Rattus norvegicus: one gene and its partners. The main gene of each other region encodes a partner of the protein of the gene in region 2 in a complex. Links are inferred from orthologs where the notes say so. Each region holds a gene or a part of one and is shown on either strand. Other genes may lie near its edges.

Region 1 (4,118 bases), on a different chromosome or scaffold from region 2:
CAGCAGAGGCAGGAAGTAGAAGGTGGAACTTCTAGGAAGAGATAGGAATTCTGAGAGTCAGCCCTGAGGAGTCAGCAGCTGGACAAGGATGAAGAAGCAGGTGCCGGGACATGACGAAGATGGACAGGTAATGGGACATGGGATGGGACGTAGGCCAAGCCAGTATTGTTGGGTTAGAACAGTTGAGAATCTGCCCAGCTATAGTGCCCAAAATTTATAATAAAGCTAATTAAAGATTCCATGTCCTTATTCAGAGCAAGGGTGTGCATAGGTAGATCTGGTTCCAGCCCAGGAAGTTTGTAGCATAGGAATGTACTCACCTTGGCCTTGAGCATCCCGAAGCCTACAGTCTCCTTGGCATACATACATAGCAGAAGGTTGGCCACCCTGGTAATGGCTACACGGCCCTCCTGGTGGGAATGACATAATACACTGGGGCACTCTGCTTGACATCCTTGGTTCCTGCCTTCCCCAGGGTTCCTCTGGTCCTAGAGATAGATATTGTCTCCCAAGCTTGGCAGAGCAGGCAGTTCAGACAGGGAACTTTGCCCAGCATTTAAGCTATGGGGGTCTGAAACTGAATTCCAGCCTCAGCAGAGCCATGTCCTAACCAAGTTATCCTGGGGAACCAAGTCTTTGAGAAATTGGGGCTTTCTTCTCTAATGCTGAATTGTCTCAACAGGTGAGGGACCAGGAACAATAGCCCAACTTGTTTGTTGCTCTTGCAGTAGACTTGAGTTCGATTCCCAACAGCAACATTGTGCTGCCAATCATCTAGTTTAGGGGATCCAATGCCTTCTTTCACCCCGAGGGCACTGTGCATGCACATGGTGCTCAATATAACATCCGGGCATAGCAACTCACACATACAGAATAAAATAAACCTTAAAAAGGTAACAACGACCCCCACACACACACAACTTACATGTCTCTTTTCCTACTTTGTAACTGTTCAAAATGGAGATCAATTAAAGTGGATCAACATTTGAAAGTAAAAATAAAATGGCTCATTTATTAAGAGAAGTGATGCTTCACGGAACTTGCTTTAGTGTGTGTGCTAGGCTCTGACTCAAAAACACAAATTGTGTTTCTAGGAATAGATTCTAGAATCCCATACATTCTAAGCTACTGCTCTACCACTGAGCTCCACCATCTGTCCATTAAAATGCATTTCTTATAGCTGGGCTGCAGTGAATGCCTTTGAAGCTTCTGTTCAATGGCACCAGCCCTAGACCCAGCACCCGGTAGGAGTCCAGCAGTGGGTAAGAGGGGTGTAAAGAATGGGCAGCCAGAGAACAGCAGTGCTCTGCACACTATCATTCTTCAGAGGACTGGGAAGCCCACAGGCCTCTTTAGTGCTATCTCCTAATAACTTTTCTCCATTCTATGACACTCCATCCTTACTGATCTTTGTCCTGGCATCACTCTGCCCTAGGTCCTTTGCAACAACTGTTGTCGGAAATACGTGCAACGGCTGGTCGTTGGTGGTGCACGCCTTTAGTCCCAGTACTTGAGAGGCAGAGGCTAGCAGATTTCAGATTTTGAGGTCCCCCTGATTTTACAGACTTCCAGGATAACCAGGGCTGCGTAGAGAAGCCCTGTCTCAAAAAAAAAAACCAAAAAAAAAAAACAAAACCAAAAAAGAAAAAGAAAATAAACACTCAAAGAGATCCTGCCTCGGGGCTAGAGAGATGGCTCAGTGGTTAAGAGCACTGACTGCTCTTCCAGAGGTCCTGAGTTCAATTCCCAGCAACCACATGGTGGCTCACAACCATCTGTAATGGGATCCGATGCCCTCTTCTGGTGTGTCTGAAGACAGCTACAGTGTACTCATATAAATAAAATAAATCTTTAAAAAAAAAAAAAAAAGAGCTTATAAAAAAAAAAAAAAAAAAAAAGAGATCCTGCCTCAGTCTCTTGTGTACTAGTCTAGAGGAATAAGCCACCATAGCCAGCACTGCTAGAAATATTTTTCCAAAAGATCTCTTCATGGCTCTTACCCTTTCCAATCGTCTTCCAGATCTTTTAACAAATGTCTCCTTTTCGCTGAGATTGACCCTTACATAGGCCTGCACCCTACTCTCACTTCCTTTTTTAATATCTACGTTTTATTTGGCAAGGTGCGACTGTGAACACATGCAAATTCAGTATTCAGAAGGCAGAAGCACAATGATCATTGTAAGTTCGAGGTCAGCCTACTTTACTTCATACCATGCAGTCCATGAGGATAAATTTGAGACTGTCTTCATTAAACGCTTGGTTCCCGTTCCTATCGTATGCGGCCCAGATGTTACTGGCGATGGCCGCGGTGACCCGGGCATCTGTGTCCCCATAACCGGAGTAGGCCAGCAACGATCCCTCATTATTCAGCAGCCTGACAAGAATGGGAAGGATATCAACAAACTCAGGAAGAGTAAAAGGCCTGAGTTCCTATCCCAATTCCAGCTACTTGCGCTTTCAGGAAGCAAGAATCTGTGCTGGATATATCCAGGAACATGCTAATCAACTGTCGATTCCCCTTTCGGAGGAGGCCCTCACGCAGGGTTCCCGAAGCTGCAGTTTGCAACATTAGCCACCTCCCGGCGCAGGGCTCCTTCCCTACCCCTACTGCAGGGATCCGCACGCCGCCCCATTTCAGCGCTCGCTGTTTGGGTTCTTGTTGTTCACTCACAGGGTACTTTGGACTCCTCCAGTGTTGGCTTGGCTTAGCACCTGCGTCAAAGCCTTAGGACGCAGCATGCCTGCGTCTCTTAACCCTGACCTGCTCCCACAAACACTACAGTCGCAGCCTCTTGCCCTCCCTCATCGCTTCCGGTGGCCCGGAAGCCCAGCTACGAGGCACCTGGGAGTTGTAGTCACCGGGCTTATTTACTGAGGCTGTGGTCCAATTCCCGCCCCGCGCGGGGGCCTCTGGGAATCGTAGTTTTTTGTGACCGCTCAAGGAATTCTGGGAACTATAGTTCAGCTTTTCAGTCAGACCATGTGGCTGTGGGGGGGAAAAGAGCGGGAGCGCAAGGACAGTGGCAATGTTGGAAGGACTTTTAACCTCTTCCACGCGAAGGGCGCCTCCGTGCCTACTGGTCAATCGCAATCTAATAATAAATCTCTGTATCTGTTAGGCACATCCTTAGCCATTTTTTAAAGCAATATTGTACGCTAGTCACAATTCTGTAGAGTCTTGCTTTCTTGACACCCAGGGCTCAGAGAAGCCACGTAGGCAAACTCCAGGTCTCTGAAACCGTCCTTAATGGCCCCCTCGGGGCGGTTCCCGGGAGGTCACGACTGTTAGAATCTGCAGAGGTTTTAAGGACGCCCTGAGCCAGGAACGAACCTAGGCCTGGCCGATTCTGCCTTTCAAGAAAAATAGTTACCTCGGGGAACGGAGATGAGACGGCGACACCGAAAGTCCTTTGTCCAAACGGGACGGAACCGCGGGCGGCCCTGAATCTCCCGCCCTCTGCGCGGGCCGCACTATCCGGCCCGGGCCAGCTGCGCACCCCGCTCGGGCCCGGGCCGCCCCAACTGCAGTGCCCCCCCAGGCCGCCCGGGGCGCTGTGGCTGCAGCTGTCCGGAGGGGGCGGCGGAGCCTTGGGGAGGGGCGGGAGGGGGAGTTGGAGGCTCCGGAGCCGAGCCGGGCCGGGCGGGCCAGGAGGAGGAGGAGGAGGAGGAGCTGGGCGGGCTGGCGGGCGGCCGGGCGGCGGCATGGCGGAGCCGAGTGGGGCTGAGACGAGGCCCCAGATTCGGGTCACCGTCAAGACCCCCAAGGACAAGGAGGAGATCCTGATCTGCGATCAAGCCTCGGTCAAGGAGGTAGTAGGGCTGGCGCGGGAGAGAGGAGGGCGGGAGCAGCGCACTGAGGGGTCAGCGTAGAGAGGAAGACCTAGGGGAACGGCCTGGCGCCGGGGACGGGCCCCCGGCCGGGGCGGAACCCAGGGGCATCCAGGCGGGAGAGGCGGGTAGGGGGCGCCCTACCCGGGCTAGTCCGGGGAGTGTGGCGCGGGTAGGGGCCGATTTGGCCGCACTACCAGGGCTGGGGGCGTGGTGGGGGAGCTTGAGGAAGGGACACCTTGCTTGCAGGCTCCAGAAGGATCCTAGGCTTGAGGGGAGTGTGCGCCAGG
Region 2 (4,229 bases):
AGAAAATCAAAACCTAGGGTGTGATTACCAAGTGATCTATCACACCCCCAGCCCCTCACTGGGGGATTCTAGGCAGGGGCTGTACCACTGAGCCACGCCCTCAGCCCCTCACTGGGGGATTCTAGGCAGGGGCTGTACCACTGAGCCACACCCCCAGCCCCTCACTGGGGGATTCTAGGCAGGGGCTCTCCCACTGAGCCACGCCCCCAGCCCCTCACTGGGGGATTCTAGGCAGGGGCTGTACCACTGAGCCACACCCCCAGCCCCTCACTGGGGGGATTCTAGGCAGGGGCTCTACCACTGAGCCACGCCCCCAGCCCCTCACTGGGGGACTCCTGGGCAAGTGTTCTACTACTGACCCATGCCTTCAGCCCCTCACAGAGGATTCTAGGAAGATGTTCTACCACTAAGCTAACTGCTCAATCTTTGAAGGTTCCACTTGTCCCCAGTCTTCCCACTTGTCCTTGTCTGAAGGCTATGAACCAGAAACACCTACTTTGTCTTTGAAGCTTTCCCTCTGGCTACTTCTAGGGTCAATGAGAAGACAGTAGTCCAGACTTCTCTGGACAAACTGCTTCTACTCCCTCTTCCCACTGATTCTAAATGGGCCCTTTACTAGATTTAGTTCCTTTTGCTCTCAGTTTCTCCATCTGTATATTGGACCCATATTCTGTGCTTGTGGAAGTTTCATGAGAAAACAATGAGAATATTATAACAGTGCCTACATAATAAATGTACTATAACTGCTATCAGTCCATCTCACTCATCTCAGACCTCACTCATCTCCTGTCTATAGTCAGGCCATCAAAATTCCCTTTAGCTACCTCCTTGGTCAGCTTCCTTTTTTACTTTCTTATTTGTTCAGGTACCACAGTACTTTTCTGGTTTTCCCTGCTCAGAGTCCTACAGGATGAGTACATCAGAAAGGTAAGGTACATGCAGAAGTACTTTACCTAGTTATTACCAACATATATTAATACCTCTAAGATGTGATCTCTGGGCTGTGGCAATGGCTCAGTGGATAAGAGCGCTTGCTGTACAAGCAAGAGGACCTGAGTTCAAATCCCCTACCCTACATGGCCATGCTCACACCTGGAATCCCAGTACTGTGGGTGTACAGGCAGGTTGATTGCTAAGGCTTGCTCAGTGTTGCCAGTCTAGCTCCAGGTTCAGTATGAGACCCTGCCTCAAGGAATAAGGCAGAGAAGGGTAAGAGGAGGTCTCTAATGTCCTACACTGGTCTTAGCATATGCATGGGCACACACATGTGCAGACACTAAAAAAATAGATACAATGTCTATAGCCCTTACTTCTCATTGCTACCCGGCCAGTCTCTTAGATGGCTCTCCTGGGACAGTCATGCTACACCATTTCTGTGAGTCACATTTATGTTTTCAAAACCCTTTAAGTAACCCTCAAGATTTGTCCAAAGATATTGAAGCTAGCCATAGGAAGTTCAGTATCAGAGTCTTACCACAGCATCCTTCCTCTTCAAACTGTTTCAACACAAGACCACAACCAGGCGCTGTTACACTCAGGCAAGTATGTCCAGCTCCCAGCCCTGAGAATTCTCTTCCTCGTTCACAACCTTCTGTCTTAGCAGCTCAGCTCAATCCTTGCCTCTAGAGAAGTCTTGCCCCCGCCCCCCAAAATTCTAGGGGCAGGTGAAATGGCTCAGAGCATAAAAGTGCTTGCCTAAGGACCGGATTTCAATCCTCAGGACCCGCATGGCAGGAGGAGAACTCACTCCCAAAGGTTGTCCTCGGCTTTTTTAAAGATATCCCAAATAAAAACATACTACAAGTAACTAACTAATTGAATGACTTTGGTAAAGTTTGGTTTTTGTTTTTTGAGGCTGAGTTACATGTGGTCCAGACTGTGATTTGACTTGATACATAGCCAAAGATGAACCTGAATTTCTAATCTGCCGGTTTCCACCTTCCAAGTGCTGGGGCTACAGATCACGTGCCTCTGTGTTTGGTTTTGTGCAGTATTGGGAATTGAACTGAAGGCTTTGTACGTGCTAAGTAACTCACTCTCCTGACTGAGCTATAACCCCAACCTTTTGGAAATAAGCATTTATACCATATATCCAAACATTAAATATGGCAAGCAGGGAACCACAGAGAGGACAAAAGTAGACAACTGAGAGAAAGCGGGAAATATTTGAAGGGATTTCTGGGTTGTGTGTCCCCAAAGGACCCCGTCACCGCCACCACCCCATGCCTCGCTTTCCCACAACGCACCGCTAGCACTGCACCTTCGCTCAGCACCAGGTAGCCAAGCTGGTCTGGGATTCGTTCCAGCCCTTGGGTCAGTGCGGAAGTCTAGTGGGTAAAGAGGCAAGAGGTGAGAACCATGACAGCCTTGTAAACCCATCTCCCTCCTGGATATAAGCCTTTCAGACCCTCTAAATGGCTTGTAACACTGAGTCTCCATCCATGGTCACTATTGGACGCCTGAGCTCTTCCACTTGTCAGGCAGGTGACCCAGGAGACCTTCCTAGCTTCACAGCCCCTTCTCATTCCAGTGCCCTTATGCCCCGCCCCTTGTGCCATCAAAACTACTCCCGGCCGCAAAACACCCGGTAGCGGAGCCTTCCTTCTCCAGCCCTCCCGGTCGCCTCCCTTCCATCTCTGTTTCCTTTCGGTCCCAGGGTGGACTGGGGGTGACAGCGGAGTGCAAGCCATAAGGGGGTAACCGAAGTTTGGGGAACAGGGACGCGCAACCCTAGGCGCACAAGCCCGCGCATGCGTCCTCACTCACCATGGCAGCCGTAGGTGCAGGGGGAGCTGTCTACCGGATAGGTAGCTTCCGGCTCCAGGCTCCGGTCAGGTGGTTCACCAGCTGACTCTAGCCCAGCCCTTCGCTTGCGCATTGGATGGTGCGTACGTCATCAGACTTTATCAACCACTGCGGAGCGCCGCTTTCCGGACACATTCGTGGATTGGTTGCATTTCCTCGCCACTCAGGATTCGCCTGCGAGATTATCTGAAGAGTTATTGAGCGAGGGGCGGGGCACCTCTCCACCTCCTCACGAACGTGCGCGTGCGCCTAGGCTTCCAAGGAGAAAGTAATGCAGTCTAGTGTTGTAAAGAGCTTTCCCCGTTAGGTGTCACGGTTCAACCTGAAAAGAGAAGTTAATGTGAATGACGATGGTTTACACATGAAAAACTGTTCACGTGTTAATTTTCTGCCTTAGTATACGACCCAAATATGAATGGGTAAATCAAATTTGGTGTATATATGCACACTGTAGTATATTATCAATACAAGGGAAAAACGTCCTGACACCAAGAGCAACTTGAGAATCTCGAAAGCAAGTTAAAGCAAGCCAGAAGAATAGCTTCAGAGACAACTCAGCCTTTAGAGGCTCAGAATCAACCAGAAGGACTGGCTTGAAAGGGCAGTCACATAAGACCACATATTATGTGGTTCCATCTATGTAAGATGCTTAGCTGTGACTGACGCTGAATACTTGTAATACTGGTATAAATCCTGGGAAGCCAAGGAAGGGGGTTTCAAGTTCAGGCCAGATTGGACTGAATAGTGAGTTCAGTGCCAGCCTGAGCTACCTACCAGGAGCCTAACTAAAACACATACACTTCTGGCAAATCCAGAAAAACGTGAAAGCAGTTAGTGGTCGGTAGTGAGGCAAGAGAAAATAGGAAGTGCCTATTAAGGGGGGGGGGGGAGTGGCACGTGTGATTTAAACTTTTTGGGATTCGTATTGAAGTCTGCCTATCTTTGTGACTGTGACATAGGTTGTACACTTTGAATTAAAATGTTTCAAGATCTGTGAATTATATAACCCTCCCCCCCCCCCCCCTTATTTTCAGTGCCGAGAAGCAAAGTAAGGGCCTTGCGCATGCTGGGTAAGAGCTCTCCATCTGGTCTGTATCCCCAGCACTAATCATAGCTCAAGAAAGAAAGTCCTCCACCCCAAATCGTCTTGGTTTAGGAGAAGCAGCTAATTAGAGAAAATGCATGTCTTTAAAAATGAGGCATGGGTCTGAGTTTGAACACTTGCCCAGCATGCCCAGGCCCGGAATTCAACATGGCAACAATTTTGAAGTAGGGCCAGCAAAGAGGCTCAGCAGGCAAAGGTGCTTGCCGCCAAGCCTAATAACCTGAGTTTGATCACTGAGTCCCACATTGTTAAAGGAAACAACCAACCCCACAAATAGTTCTCAAACCTACACTTGTGAGCTACGGTACACATGGACACA
Region 3 (3,644 bases), on a different chromosome or scaffold from region 2:
TGGTCAAGGAGGTCAGAGAGCGGGCAGCGTTGCCGTTCCTCTGGTGCAGGAAGGGTGTGAAGGCAGTGTTCATCCTCTGGGCACGCTGTGGACATCCAAACTGTTCTGCCTCAAACACCTGAATACAAAGGGTGGAGAAGAGGGCCTCTTCAGGGATGGCTACCACCGAACCTTTCAGTTACTGCCACCCCACTTCCCAGATTCTCCCACTCTGTGTTCCTGACTCAGAACACGGTCCATGCCAGCAGTCTGGCAATGCCTCACAGAATGGTTCTGCTGACCCAGGGGGTTCTGTGTGTTCCTCTCTACCCCTACTTGGCTCCTTGGACTCCACTGGATAGTCACCGTTCTTCAAGTACTCAGGTTCATTTCACAGACCCTTGCAGGTGACAGACACAGGACTAACTCCTTATAGGAGGCTCCTATGCCTTCCAGCCACATTCTAATACAGTCCAGCCACTCCACCTATCAGGACGAAGGATGAACAGCCTCCTCCTCTACTGCCCAAGGACAGAGCACAAATGAGAAATGGGCCACTGAGTCTAAAGGTCTGTGACCAAAGCATGGCCATGCCTGCCTGTGTGCTCTTCTGCAGCTGGAGGGGGTGCCCTAGGTGGGGTCTAGATAAGAGTAGCAGGCAGTTTGGGTTGTGAAGGGTACAGGAAGTAAAGGTACTGGGCAAGAAGTCAGAGGTTGAATAGCAGTTAGGACAGCTGTGGCGGGGGTGATTGCCTTTAATCCCAGCACTCAGGAGGCAGAGGCAGGCGGGTCTCTGAATTCAAGACCAGGATGAAACCAGGAGAGTTACAGGCTGGCTGGGAGGGTCGCCCGGGACATCACCGCACTGAAGCGTGGGCCCAAAGCAGAGGCAGAGCCAGGAGGACCACTGCTGCCCGGGCACCCAGCATCCATGCCAAACGGCCACAGCCCCGCCTTGAGCATCACCTTGAGGGCCTTGCCCTGGAGCTCGCTGATGATCCCGCGGATCTTGCCCAGCAGGAAGGGCCAGGAGTTGATGAGGTAGATCCGATCCATCATGATGGCGATGATGCTGTACCAGCGCTGGAAGCCTCTGGCCAGGCTGTCTTTGATGAAGAAGGTGTGGCTGAACACAAAGCCATGTTGCTCATCACCAAAGAAGATGGGGCCTTCACGACCAGGGCACACCTTGGAGGGAGCCACAGTAACTTTAGGGGAAGTCCTGACTTTACCTCAAGCCTCGTGGGCCTCTTTTCCTGTTTCTGTTATTGTTTTAAAGACTTTTTAAAGATTTATTTATTATATATAAGTATATATATACTGTATGTAGCTGTCTTCAGACACACCAGAAGAGGACATCAGATCTCATTACAGATGGTTGTGAGCCACCATGGGGTTGCTGGGATTTGAACTCAGGACTCTGGAAGAGCAGTAAGTGCTCTTAACCACTGAACCATCTCTCCAGGCCCTCTTTTCCTGTTTTTGGTGGTGCTGGGGTTAGGACTCAGGGCCTGGCTGGAACAGAGCAGGCCAGTGTCCTATCAATGAATGGCACCAAATGTTACAACTTGCTCTTGATGGGCAGACTGGAGAGCCAGCAGAAGCAATGGCTACTTCTGGTCTTTAAATCATGGGAATGTGGTGTGTAGGGTTGGAGGAGGGGGTGGTGTAAACACGAGTACAGGTGCTTGCAGAGGCCAAAGGTGCTGGATCCCCTGGATTTGGAGTCATGGGAGGCTGTAAGCTACCCAGCGTGGGTGGATATTAGGAACTAAACTGAGATCATCCGTATCAGTAGCACAGAATCGTAGCTGTTGAGCTATCTCCAGCCCATAGCACACCCTATTTTTAGAGAGTCCTTTGGTCTCTCCCTCCTGACAAATTTGCTGGACCTGTGACTACTGTGCACAGGGCATCTGGTGCTGCTGAGCGTACAGCAGGAGACGGAGGTATAGAGCACACTGAGAACAAGCACCATGGCGCCCAGGGATCCTACAAGGTGGAGATAGGGGCCATATATGCCTGTGGGACAGATCAGACCTAGAAGCTGAGACTCGGGCCCCACAGCAGAAGCTCAGGGGCAAACATTCTTGTTTGTTGTTAAACCTTTATTTTTCTTCTCTGCTCTGTTTGCCGGCATATATGTCTATCCCACGTGCGTGCAGTGGCCATGGAGGCCAGAAGAAGGTGTGAGGTCCCCTGGGACTGAGCTATGGACAGTTGTGAGCCAACATGTGGTTGCTGGGATTGAACTTAGGACCTCTTCACCACTGAGCCAGCCCTGCAGCCGGATGCATTCTTTGGAAGGTTCTAAGCATTCCACCATGGCATGTTGATACAATGTAAAGGTGACACTGCCTAGGGACCGTCCCATCTCAGAGACTTGCCCATCAAGAATGGACTAGAAAAACCAGTCTGTTGTTCGAAGTGAAATGCCAACCCCTATGTAGACAGCCCGAGTCCACAGGGACTTACTCTTCAGGCTCTAACGACTGCTTCCATGCTCACACAGCACTGACAAGCAAGGCCCCCTGTGTTGGTAAACAGCAATGAACCTATCTGTCCCCGTGCACGTCTCCCGCGGATAGCCTGCCGCTGGCCTTACCTCACAGCTCAGGCTGCGGACACAGGCCTGGCGGACAATGCTGAAGAGCTGTGGGTGGTTGGGGTGCTGGTGGCTGACGTACTTGATAGAGGTCTCCTTATCATGACTGATATAACCTGGGTGCCCTACAGCAAGCGAGCGGCAGCCCTGCACACAAAGGACGACAAAATAAATAAATAAATAAATAAATAAATAAATCTCTTGGCTAGGAGCAGGCAACATATCTAAATATAGAAAACACAATCCTTTTTAAATTTTTAAAACTTTTTAAAAATCATCTTCTTGCTGGGCAGTGGTGGTGCACACCTTTAATCTCAGCACTAGGGAGGCAGAGGAAGGAGGATCTCTGTGAGTTTGAGGCCAGCCTGGTCTAAAGAGTAAAGTGCCAGGACAGCCAGGGCTACACTGAAAACCCCAGTCTCAGAAAAACCAAAACCAAAATCAACAACGACAACAAAAAAAAAAAAAGAAAAAAAGAAAGAAAGAAAGAAAAGAAACTTGCTTTTTTCTGGAGAAACATTATCTCTAGTTGGTACGACTTCCTTTAAGTATGTGTAATGATGTGTGGTTTTCTTCCCCCCGAGACAGGGGTTCTCTGTGCATCCCTGACTGTCCTGGAACTCTCTCTGTAGACTAGACCGGCCTCTGCACTGACTAGGTTAAAAGGGCTCATGCTGGGGTGGTGAGAAAAATGTTCTCAGGACCTTGGAGGTTTCCCAGGCTCCCACTACAGCCCACCTCTCACAGAAAGGCTAAAACCAGCTCACGGTCCCAAAGGGCACTTGCCTCGCACATGTCTGACTTCTTGGGCCCCGGGCTGCTGGAGTCAGTGCTGGCGCCCTCGGCTGGGCTGTGGGCACGGACTCGGCTGCTCATCTGGATGCCGCCCTCTTCTTCCTCAGCCTGCTCAACCTGGCCAGGACTGTCCCCACTTCCGGCACCCTGGGGCAGGGGAGCGTGTAGAACCTCCGTGCAGAAGAGCGTGCGGGGGCCATGGAGCTCGCAGAAGTGGCAGAGAGCCACAATGGCGTTCATGGTGCTGGAGAATGGCCGAGGCCTG

Evidence for each region.
Region 1: Lamtor4 (region 2) and Lamtor2 share a complex: the UniProt entries of both Homo sapiens proteins name them as parts of the ragulator complex. The link is inferred for Rattus norvegicus from reciprocal best matches to the Homo sapiens genes LAMTOR4 and LAMTOR2.
Region 3: Lamtor4 (region 2) and Flcn share a complex: the UniProt entries of both Homo sapiens proteins name them as parts of the lysosomal folliculin complex. The link is inferred for Rattus norvegicus from reciprocal best matches to the Homo sapiens genes LAMTOR4 and FLCN.

The regions. Positions count from the first base shown.
Region 1 is NC_086020.1:176,306,914-176,311,031, forward strand, and holds the start of Lamtor2 (ragulator complex protein LAMTOR2), read right to left. Parts: upstream 2,816-4,118; 5' UTR 2,740-2,815; coding exon 2,672-2,739; intron 2,375-2,671; coding exon 2,212-2,374; exon of another isoform or gene 985-2,211; intron 489-984; coding exon of another isoform or gene 411-488; coding exon 321-410; intron 1-320. Other genes in the region: Ubqln4 (ubiquilin-4), read left to right, coding at 3,703-3,810. UniProt on the Homo sapiens protein: As part of the Ragulator complex it is involved in amino acid sensing and activation of mTORC1, a signaling complex promoting cell growth in response to growth factors, energy levels, and amino acids.
Region 2 is NC_086030.1:22,370,878-22,375,106, reverse strand, and holds the start of Lamtor4 (ragulator complex protein LAMTOR4), read right to left. Parts: upstream 2,839-4,229; 5' UTR 2,770-2,838; coding exon 2,767-2,769; intron 2,328-2,766; coding exon 2,247-2,327; intron 1-2,246. UniProt on the Homo sapiens protein: As part of the Ragulator complex it is involved in amino acid sensing and activation of mTORC1, a signaling complex promoting cell growth in response to growth factors, energy levels, and amino acids.
Region 3 is NC_086028.1:45,097,254-45,100,897, forward strand, and holds part of Flcn (folliculin), read right to left. Parts: exon of another isoform or gene 3,642-3,644; 5' UTR 3,620-3,641; coding exon 3,371-3,619; intron 2,732-3,370; coding exon 2,585-2,731; intron 1,168-2,584; coding exon 946-1,167; intron 119-945; coding exon 1-118. UniProt on the Homo sapiens protein: Multi-functional protein, involved in both the cellular response to amino acid availability and in the regulation of glycolysis.